2 linked regions of the Macaca fascicularis genome follow. The main gene of each other region encodes a partner of the protein of the gene in region 2 in a complex. Links are inferred from orthologs where the notes say so. Each region holds a gene or a part of one and is shown on either strand. Other genes may lie near its edges.

Region 1 (5,333 bases), on a different chromosome or scaffold from region 2:
GGTTGCAATGAGCTGAGATCATGCCACTGCACTCTAACCTGGGTGATAAGAGTGAGACTCCATCTCAAAAAATAAAAATAAAAGGCCGGGCGCGGTGGCTCAAGCCTGTAATCCCAGCACTTTGGGAGGCCGAGACGGGCGGATCACGAGGTCAGGAGATCGAGACCATCCTGGCTAACACGGTGAAACCCTGTCTCTACTAAAAAGTACAAAAAACTAGCTGGGCGAGGTGGCGAGCGCCTGTAGTCCCAGCTACTCGGGAGGCTGAGCCAGGAGAATGGCGTAAACCCGGGAGGCGGAGCTTGCAGTGAGCAGAGATCCGGCCACCGCACTCCAGCCTGGGTGACAGAGCGAGACTCCGTCTCAAAAAAATAAAAAAATAAAAATAAAAATAAAAATAAAAATTCGAGGCAGGAATGCAACCGGAACCAAATCTCATAAAGTGCTCACATTTTAATAAAAGAGATATAACAAATGAACAAAAGTCCATTAAAATGTTAGAGGAAAAAACCCAATAGGATGTGTTACTAACCAGAAGGGGAGAAGGGATTTGCAGTGGTTAGGAAAGCCCTTTCCCAGAAGATAAGCTGAGACCTGTGCCAAGAGGGAGGCAGCCATGCAAATACTGAGAGGCAGGAAAAAACGAAGGGTCAGTGCAAAGATCTAGAGAGGGAAAGAACTTGTCTTGCTGGAGACGCAGTCAAGGTAGCCAAGGAGGGTACTGAGAAGAGTATGTCTGAGTGAGCAGGCAGGGACTCTATGGAGTAGGGGCTCAAAGGCGATAATTAGGCCAGGCGCGGTAGCTCACGCCTATAATCCCAGCACTTTGGGAGGCCGAGGCGGGTGGATCACGAGGTCAGGAGTTCAAGACCAGCCTGGCCAAGACGGTGACACCCCGTCCCCGTCCCCGTCTCTACTAAAAATACAAAAAAAAAAATTAGCCGGGCGTGGTGTCAGGCGCCTGTAATCCCAGCTACTCGGGAGGCTGAGGAAGATAATTGTTTGAACACGGGAGGCGGAGCTTGCAGTGAGACGAGATCGCGCCACTGCACTCCAGTCTGGACTCCGTCTCAAGAAAAAAAACACAAAGGCGATGATGAGCAGTTTGGGTTTTGTTTCTACTTACACTAGGACGACACGAGCGAGAGCATCCGTAATGAACAAGGGGAAGAGTGAAGCCACTGACTCGCGAGGTGACCGTGGGCAAGTTCCTGAATCTCGCTAACGCTCTTTAACCCCCTGGAAAATTGTTCGCTAATCGTCACATTAAACGGCTGCGAACGGGCCACGCTCAAGGCTTCGGGGCTGCAGCCTCGAGTTTACCTGTCCTCCAGGACCGACTCCATGGGCTCCACCCCGTCAGTGTCCACCGCACGTAGCCGGTCGGCGAAGGCGATAGCTTTCTCCAGTCGCGCCACTGCCTCGCAGCTGCCGAAGTCCACAAGCGCTAGACGCTCCAGGTGCTCGATCACCTGGGCCGTGATCCGGCCACTGCCCTGGAGGAGGAATGAGGCACGGAGTGTGGTTCACCGGCGCCCCGGTGTGCCTCCCGGCTTGCTCCGCCACCCGCCTAGATGGCCCTGGCCTTTACCTGAGGATCCGCCTTGGACGTGAAGCCCTGGCGCCCGCCCAGAGGGGCCCGAAGGCCCAGCCACACCAACCGCGACCACATTTCTTCCTTCCTTGGCCCCCGTAGTGCGCCCGCGCGTAACGCCGAGCGACGCGCCTAAGAGTGATGACATCAGAGTGCGCTGCCGCCGCCGCCGACACCACTGTCGCCATGAACAGTGTGGGGGAGGCATGCACGGACATGAAGCGCGAATACGACCAGTGCTTCAATCGCTGGTTCGCCGAGAAGTTTCTCAAGGGGGACAGCTCCGGGGACCCGTGCACCGACCTCTTCAAGCGCTACCAGCAATGTGTTCAGGTGAGCCCTTCCGCCTCTGTTTCCAGGCCCCGCATTCTCCGCGCTGTGTCCCACTACACTCGTCGTGTTTTATGGGGGTTGGGACTGGACTGGAAGGGTGGAGAAAAGCCGCAGTGAGGTCAGTGGCAGGAGCTCGCTCCCCTATCATCACCACCGAGGCCGTTTGGGTGTCTCCCCGAATGACAAATATTGGTGCAGTGCTTTTGTTTTTAAGACACACAGTCACATCTTTTGGTTCATTTGGTGTTCATCCTAAACTCGCAAGGTGGGTATAGTTACTCATATTTTGTACATAAAAAACTAACACCCAGAAATAGGAAGTGATTGATCCGAGTTCACTAGCACCAGGTTGCCTTGATTCTTTCGCAGGTGGTGCACTTTTCCACTATTACAGCTGAGGTCTGGGCGGGGTTATACTTCAGACTGGAGGATCACATTATTTTGATGTTATAAACCCTTCGTTAGCCTGTTTATCTCTCTTGACCAGTCCCCGCAACTGCAGCTAGGAAATGTTTATTCTGGCCCAATGGATGTGGAACTGCTTTGAATTGTTAGAACAGCACTGGGCAAAGCACTTCCAATAAGTTAACCCAACACATCCTCACAGCAGTTCCCCGAGGTAGTTGCTGTCTTCATCCCATTTAGTTGGTCACATAGCCAGTAAGTCTTTCACCAACACAAAGTGATGATTATTTTTCAAATTTCACTTAATTTTAATGGTTCCCTCACAACTCCTTTTCCAGTCTCCCTCAGGTCTTACACTTGATTTATTCATTATGGTACTTTTGGTTTTTATTTATTTTTGAGGCAGTCTCACTGTCTCCCAGGCTGGAGTGCAATGGCACAATCTCAGCTCACTGGCAACCTCCGCCTCCCAGGTTCAAGCTATTCTCATGCCTCAGCCACCGGAGTAGCTGGAATTACAGGCATGCACCCCCATGCCCAGCTAATTTTTGTATTTTTAGTATAAACAGGGTTTCGCCATGTTGGCCAGGTTGGTCTCTAACTTCTGGCCTCAAGTGATCCACCTGCCTTGGTCTCCCAAAATGCTGCGATTATAGACCTGAGCCACCACACCCTACTGGTACTTGTTTTTTAAAAAGTATGTGGTTTGAATCATGGTTATAAGTCTTTATAATCAGCTTGATTTTACTTTTGTGCTGTCATATTTTATTTACAAAGCTTGCAACTTGAGCTTCATATAGATCCTTATAATGTGTTTTCTCCTCCTACCAGAAAGCAATAAAGGAGAAAGAGATTCCTATTGAAGGATTGGAATTCATGGGCCATGGCAAAGAAAAGTCTGAAAATTCTTCTTGACCTTGACAGTCACCTTGAAGGATTTCTCAATCCAGAAATTGAGGACTCTGGATTTTTGTCAACTAAATCTGTGAACCTAGCCATCAGATTTGATGAGGAACTTAGGAGAGAGGAGTTTTATTTCCCCCTTCGATGTTTTCCTCTCAGTTGTAAAAGATGAACTCTTTGAGATGATTTCTTACCTGCTGTGGCATCTGGCAGGAACTCAGTGTGCTAAAATTGAACAATTTTTTGAGATTATGGTTGCAATACTTGGTGTGGAATCAGCTTTACATAAATATACCTTGTATGCAAACGATGATAAACTAGTCAGGATGAGCAGAGCTGCCTGACCTCTTGATTTCTGCTGCGAAAGACATATACACTGTACTGGGGTCATCGTTCATGAAAGCAATTGGTTAAGACCTCTTTTTTTCTCTCAGGGAACTAATGCTCTGAAAAAGGATCTGGGCACAACAGTTTCAGTGAGTGCTTTTGAGCACACTTTTATTTTTATATAGTAACTAATGGTTAAGATTACTGGTGGCCTGGATTAGCAAAGAGGAAGACAGCTTTTAACACAGTTCCCTGCCTTCACCAGAGGTGTCAGATTAAGATGTGAAAGCTGCAAGAATGTTGGAATGACCACCATTTCAGAGCTCTCAGTGTGTAGTTCAGGAATTAAGATATTTGGAATAGCTATGGAGGAAGAACCTAAATTGCAAAGATCTGCTATTGCCAGCTTTCAACCCAAGTCAGTGAATTGTCAACCTGCATATCCTTAAAATGCTGCATCTGGTTAAATGGTGGGCGGGTGGGGGGGGAAGCTAAAGGTGCTGGCTTTATTTGCCTTGTTTACTCATCCTGCCCTGTAATGTCTGTAATCCTGAAGATGGAATAAATTGTAACATTTAGTTTCTATCATTATTTGCCTCTGGAACTCAGTGCATTTTATGGAACTATTACCCTGTTACCCTACAAACCTCACGTATACACCAGGGAGAGTTTTGTAACTTAAAGGTGAAGAAAAAGTGACTTGTCTAAGCTAGGTGGTACAGTATGGCAATCAGAAACCTCACTGATTTTTTTTTTTGAGACAGTCTGGCTCTGTCGCCCAGGCTGGAGTGCAGTGGTGCAATCTCGGCTTACTGCAACCTCCACCTCCTGGGTTCCAATGATTTTCCTGCCTCAGCCTCCCGAGTAGCTGGGATTACAGGCGTGCACCGCAATGCCCAGCTAATTTTTGTATTTTTAGTAGAGATGGGGTTTCACCATATTGGCCAGGCTGGTCTTGAACTCTTTTTTTTTTTTTTTTGAGACGGAGTCTTGCTCTGTCGCCCGGGCTGGAGTGCAGTGGCGCGATCTCGGCTCACTGCAAGCTCCGCCTCCCGGGCTTACGCCATTCTCCTGCCTCAGCCTCCCAAGTAGCTGGGACCACAGGCGCCCGCCACCTCGCCCGGCTAGTTTTTTGTATTTTTTAGTAGAGACGGGGTTTCACCGTGTTCGCCAAGATGGTCTTGATCTCCTGACCTCGTGATCCGCCCGTCTCGGCCTCCCAAAGTGCTGGGATTACAGGCTTGAGCCACCGCGCCCAGCCGGTCTTAAACTCTTAACCTCAGGTAATCTGCCAGTCTTGACATCCCAAAGTGCTGGGATTACAGGTGTGAGCCACTGCACCCAGTCAAAACCTCACTATGCTACACAACATGCTACACAAATACAATATGGTACCAAAAAAGGATCAGGAGAGCACTTACATACCTCAGAATGTCACGGAATCCCCACAATTACTTGAGTAATTTGGTTTTATTATATGCCCAAAGAAGTATGAAACTTGAATTACAGGCCGGGTATGGTGGCTCATGACTGTAACACTTTGGAAGGTGAGATGGGCCGATCACTTGAACTCAGGAATTCGAGACTAGCCTGGGCAACATGGCGAAACCCCATCTCTACAAAAAAATTAGCGGGGTATGGTGGTGTGGGCCTGTAGTCCCAGCTACTCAAAAGGCTGAGGTGGGAGCATCACCTGAGCCTGGGAGGTAGAGACTGCAGCGGGCTATGACTGTGCCACTGCACTCCAGGCTGGTTGACAGAGCAAGACCCT
Region 2 (5,167 bases):
TGCCAGTAGCCCTGGGATCTCCCAGTGACCCAGCCCTCTGTGCCCTATTCAGCTTCCTCTGGTGCTCCTGTGTGTTCCTGCTGTGAGGCCCCAGCACAGCACTCACCCACACTCTGGCCTGTCTTGCTGGATGTTTCAAAGAGCTGAGCTTTGATATCTGTAAAGAGAAGTGACTAAAGCCTCATACCTGAGAATTAGATAAACAGACAAAAGGGAGGGCTAGCAGTTCAGGCAGTCTCCTGGACCCCACAGTTCAAGGAGGCCAGGAAGACCTCCTAGAGCACCTTGCCCTGGCAGCCAAGGCAGTCCCTATTTTCTGTGATCCACCCAGACAGCCACACACTCCCACCCCCCCCAAAGGGCTGAGGAGCAGCTACTGTCTGCATAGTCCTGGACGTCATGGAAGTCCACACGTCGACGCCTCCGGTCTTCTTCCAGCAGGTCACTCTTGGTGCCACAAAGGTAGATTTGGCAGCCCTGAGACAGAAGACAAGGGTCACCCCCACAGACCAACAGAACCCCAGCCCCTAGTCTTCTAGTGAGGTCTGTTCACCTACCTCCTCTAGGCTGCGCAGTTCCTTCACCCAGAACTTTGCTCGCTCAAAGCTGCTGCTGTCTGTGAGGTCTTGGTGTGCGGCATGCAGGAGACACAACCAACTGGTCAAGGGCTGTTCTCTGGCTAGCCTGGCACCCATCTCTTCTTGTGGGACAGGCCAGAACCCCCCCGCCCTTACCATAGCAAACGATGGCAGCCTTGGCACCCCGATAGTAGATTCTACTCATGGCCTCATAGCGCTCAGAGCCTGCTGTGTCCTAAAGAGTAAGGCTTGAGTCAAACTTAAGGCCATGTTCTCCAGAACCCGCAATTTCAGATAAGGAAACGGGTCTATGAGGCCACAAATCAACCAGTAATAGGAAGGACCTACACCTCCTCAGGAATGAGTCTCCCAAGAATAGATGCCCAGGGGACTTACCCAAATACCTAATGTCACAGTCCGGTCTCCGACCGACATCACCTTGGCCACGAAGGCGGCCCCGATGGTCTGCAACGAGAGGGAAGAGATCCGAGCCATAGGTGCAGATTACCGCCCCCCCCACCCCTCCGCCCACCGTGCCTGGCCCCTCCGGATGCACTTACGTTCTGATAGGGCCCCACCAGAAAGCGGTCGTGCACGTAGCGCTCCACCAGGCTTGTCTTGCCCACGTACTCCTTGCCCAGCATCACCACCTTGACGTCCACGCGCTGCCCGCTCATGCTCCTGGGGCCGCTTCAGCCACGTCAGGGTCCTGAGCGGGGACGGGAGGCAAACCCCGATCTCCGCTCGGCCCAGGCAGCGCCCAAGCCTCCGACCCCGACCCCAAACGGCGCCAACCTACGACTCGAGACAGCGCGTCGAGCTCGAGCTCTGGCCGTGGCCTTGCACTTCGGCAGCGCCCCGTGTGCCCCCGCTGTTCGGCTCCGGGCGCCGATTATCTTTCGAAGACCCCAAACCCCGGGGCGGCCTGGGAGCGCGCGGGACAGCGTCCTCAACAGCGCAGCACGCCGCCGTGCAGCTCGCTACTCCGTCATTCGCTCGCCTGCCCGGCTTAAGCTCCGTTCTGGCTGGGAATCCCAACCGAACCCGGGGTCTCCTGCAACCCGGCTCCTATCCGCAGCGCCGCGACTCCCGCGGGAGGGGGCGAGAGGGCGAGGGGGCGGGGCCGCAAGGTCACGTGGCGCGGGCGCCGGAAGCGGTTGCTACAGTGTGACTGCGCCGGAAGTAGCGCGCGGCCGGACAACTTATGGCGGCGGCGGCAGCAGCTGCTTGGGCGCGGTGCGGTGGTGATTGAGCTACGAGCCTGGCGGCGGGTGTGCGCCGAGCCCCGGCCCGGCCCGGCCCCCGCGTGCCTCCCAGGCTCCGCACCCCTGATGCTGCGCGGGTGCTGAGCCCGCTCCGGCCGGGACGATGGTGAAGTATTTCCTGGGCCAGAGCGTGCTCCGGAGTTCCTGGGACCAAGTATTCGCCGCCTTCTGGCAGCGGTACCCGAATCCCTATAGGTACGTGGTATTTGGAAGAGCAAAACTTCGCCATCTCGCTATTTGGAGATCGAAGTGTGGGTAATCCCCAAGTAATGGGACCAGGAAGGACTCGACATCGAATCCTACGTAGACCTTATTGGGGAAGCGGCCAGGCCAGGCCTGCAAGGTCCTGAAGGGAGGTTGGGCCTGGGCGGTGGTTTGCTTGAGACTTTAGTATAAGATTCTTTTCTCAGTGTGGTGAGACAAGAAGAGGCGGCAGTATGGGAGTTGGGAGGGATCTTGGGATTGGAAATCCTGTTCCTCTTCCCATGGCGCTTTCCTGGGGTGCAATAAATCATGAGGTCCATTGCTGCTAGAAGGCAGGAATCCAGGTCAGTCAGATGGCGGGAGTTGGAATTTGCCCTGGGATGGGCCCTTGACTCTGGTCTGAACCATAGCACTTACCACCTTGCAAGGTTACAGGAAGGCGTGGCCTCTCTAGGCCCGGAGACTCCAAATGGGAATCCCCTCGGGCAATCTCTTAGGGGCAGGCTCCTGAGGGTCACCTTCACCCTGACACCTGCAGCAAACATGTCTTGACGGAAGACATAGTACACCGGGAGGTGACCCCTGACCAGAAATTGCTGTCCCGGCGACTCCTGACCAAGACCAACAGGATGCCCCGCTGGGCCGAGCGACTGTTTCCTGCCAATGTTGCTCACTCGGTGTACATCCTGGAGGACTCTATTGTGGACCCACAGAATCAGACCATGACCACCTTCACCTGGAACATCAACCACGCCCGGCTGATGGTGAGACGCCTCCTGCTGTGATTCTGCACCTCCCCCTCTCCCCTCCCAGCCAGATAGCTCCTCAGATACATGTGGCTAGAGAGCCATAAGGGAGCTTTTGTGGTCTGAGGCAGGTCTGGGTTACTGAGGGTTGACAGCTGTAGAGTATGACCTCAGATTTTCTTCTTTTCAGCTGGTCATCCTCTCTGGACCTGTCTTTTGACTCATTCATACAGTAGGGGAGGGTACCTATCTTATTTCGTTGTCACTCCCATCGGGTACAGGGCACAGATATGTGTTGGACTCACAGGAGTGATGCTGAGTGGGGAAGGGAGTGCTTTTCTTTGTTTCTTTTTTTTTTTTCTGTTTTTTGTTTTTTTTCCTGGTGACAGAGTCTCACTCTGTCGCCCAGGTTGGAGTGCAGTGGCATCATCTCACCTCAGTGCCACCGCCACCTCCCAGGCTCAGGCAATTCTCGTGCCTTAGCCTCTTGAGGAGCTGGGTTTACAGGCGCACACCACCACGCCTGGCTAATTTTTGTATTTTTAGTACAGACGAGGTTTCACCATGTTGGCCAGGCTGGTCTGGAACTCCTGACCTCAAGTGATCCGCCCGCTGCAGCCTCCCAGGGTGCTAAGATTACAGGCGGGAGCCACAGTGCCGGGCCAGTGTTTTTATTTGGACTGTCAGGAAGCTCCAGAGCTGCAGTCGGTGGAAGGCGACTAAAACACTGCATGTGTATAGATGCATAAAACAAAATGCAGGAGCAGGACGGGCTGGAAGGCCCTTCGTTGATCTTAAGAGACCTTTTGCTTTCAGTTTTAAGGGTCAGAAGAGAAGTTTTCGAGAGCAAAATGACCTTATTTATGGCTTTGTGCTCTGTCAGTGCCACTTGGTGGTGCAGTCAGGGGAAGGAATGGATTTTCATTGTATCGCTTCGCCTCATGAAAAGAGACAGGGAGTCAAATTTATGTGCAAGTTGGCAAAATGAAAGACTCTTCCACGGTTGTGGTTGGCCTCTCTGCATAGGTGGTGGAGGAACGATGTGTTTACTGTGTGAACTCTGACAACAGTGGCTGGACCGAAATCCGCCGGGAAGCCTGGGTCTCCTCTAGCTTATTTGGTGTCTCCAGAGCTGTCCAGGTAAGCAGTGTTGTTGGGGCTGTTGGGGCCCTGGGACCCAGTGCTTTTGGTATTGGGGCTGGGCTGGGGTCAATGGGCAACTCAGTATCCTTCCCCTTCTCATCTTATGGCAGGAATTTGGTCTTGCCCGATTCAAAAGTAATGTGACCAAGACTATGAAGGGTTTTGAATATATCTTGGCGAAGCTACAAGGTGAGTTTCTGGGTATGTGGAGATTCCTCGTAGGGCGAGGCTCATTCAGCCTAGCAGGTGTGGAGTCTGGGTCAGTCATTGCCCTGCTCTGAGTTGGGACTTCTTGTCTGTACTGGGGGTGGGAGGAGGGTGAATACCACCTTTTTAGTGGAGCCTGGCCCAGGGGAGGTCTGTGGCATGGGGGAGGGAAATGAGGTTGGTCTTTCAGGCATCCTCTGAAGCCAGCCGCCTGCCCTTCACGACAGGCGAGGCGCCTTCCAAAACACTTGTGGAGACAGCCAAGGAAGCCAGGGAGAAGGCAAAGGAGACGGCACTGGCAGCTACAGAGAAGGCCAAGGACCTTGCCAGCAAGGCAGCCACCAAGAAGCAGCAGCAGCAGCAGCAGTTTGTGTAGCCAGCCCACCACCACCACAGCACCCCAGACAGCTAGGCTTAGCCCCTCTGCCCTCCCTCCATTGTACTTTATCATTCAAAATCAACTTCAGCCCTATCTGCTGTCTGGGTGGTGGGTTGTGGGGAGGCAGTTTGGCATCTGCAGGACAGCAAGGCACGTGATTCACATCTGTGCCAGGTCTGCTTATTCTCCCATGGGGCAGCTGAGGACCGAGGCACAGAGGTGCGGTGACTTGCCCGGGGCTCCAGGTAGCCTGCAGGTTAACTGGCGGTAAGTGCTAGACTGTAAGCCCCACGAGGGCAGGGCTTTTGGTTTTGTTCTCTGAAGTGTCTCAATATCTAGCACATAATAGACACTCAATAAATACTTATTGAATTCAGTCAGCCCCAGCTCTGGAGTCGGAAGGCTTTGGTTTGAATCTTGATTCCACTGTTTTTGGACCTCAGGTAAGTCAAGTCACTCAGCCTCATTTCCACCATCTGTGAAGTGGAGACAGAACAGCCTCCGAGTTGTGAGGATTAAGTGCACTGCCTGGCACGGCCAGCAGTGTCAGCGATGGGAACTGATCTTATTTCCTCTTCCAGTGGGTCTGTGGTTGGGAGTTCCCCCATTTTCATCAGGCAAGACTATGGACAGGAAGTTATGAAA

The links. Proteins that work in one complex are often made in the same cells at the same time.
Region 1: the proteins of PRELID1 (region 2) and TRIAP1 are in contact, whole or in part, in a crystal structure (PDB 6I3V), measured with the Homo sapiens proteins. The link is inferred for Macaca fascicularis from reciprocal best matches to the Homo sapiens genes PRELID1 and TRIAP1. Residues at the interface, in NP_037369.1 of Homo sapiens: Trp15, Asp16, Phe19, Ala20, Trp23, Gln24, Tyr26, Pro27, Val34, Leu35, Thr36, Glu37, Asp38, Ile39, Val40, His41, Arg42, Val44, Gln48, Lys49, Leu50, Leu51, Ser52, Arg53, Leu55, Thr57, Tyr79, Leu81, Asp83, Ser84; in NP_057483.1 of Homo sapiens: Met1, Asn2, Ser3, Val4, Lys12, Tyr15, Asp16, Phe19, Asn20, Trp22, Phe23, Phe27, Leu28, Gly30, Asp31, Ser32, Phe41, Tyr44, Gln45, Val48, Gln49, Ile52, Ile57, Pro58, Ile59, Leu62, Glu63, Phe64, Met65, Gly66.

The regions. Positions count from the first base shown.
Region 1 is NC_088385.1:127,470,947-127,476,279, reverse strand, and holds TRIAP1 (TP53-regulated inhibitor of apoptosis 1), read left to right. Parts: upstream 1-1,743; 5' UTR 1,744-1,780; coding exon 1,781-1,927; intron 1,928-3,163; coding exon 3,164-3,247; 3' UTR 3,248-4,153; downstream 4,154-5,333. Other genes in the region: GATC (glutamyl-tRNA(Gln) amidotransferase subunit C, mitochondrial), read right to left, coding at 1,324-1,496, 1,592-1,672. UniProt on the Homo sapiens protein: Involved in the modulation of the mitochondrial apoptotic pathway by ensuring the accumulation of cardiolipin (CL) in mitochondrial membranes.
Region 2 is NC_088380.1:184,238,424-184,243,590, forward strand, and holds PRELID1 (PRELI domain-containing protein 1, mitochondrial), read left to right. Parts: upstream 1-1,765; 5' UTR 1,766-1,946; coding exon 1,947-2,038; intron 2,039-2,544; exon of another isoform or gene 2,545-2,585; coding exon 2,586-2,811; intron 2,812-3,819; coding exon 3,820-3,933; intron 3,934-4,046; coding exon 4,047-4,125; intron 4,126-4,370; coding exon 4,371-4,519; 3' UTR 4,520-4,908; downstream 4,909-5,167. Other genes in the region: RAB24 (ras-related protein Rab-24), read right to left, coding at 107-157, 378-477, 558-625, 735-813, 975-1,043, 1,139-1,255. UniProt on the Homo sapiens protein: Involved in the modulation of the mitochondrial apoptotic pathway by ensuring the accumulation of cardiolipin (CL) in mitochondrial membranes.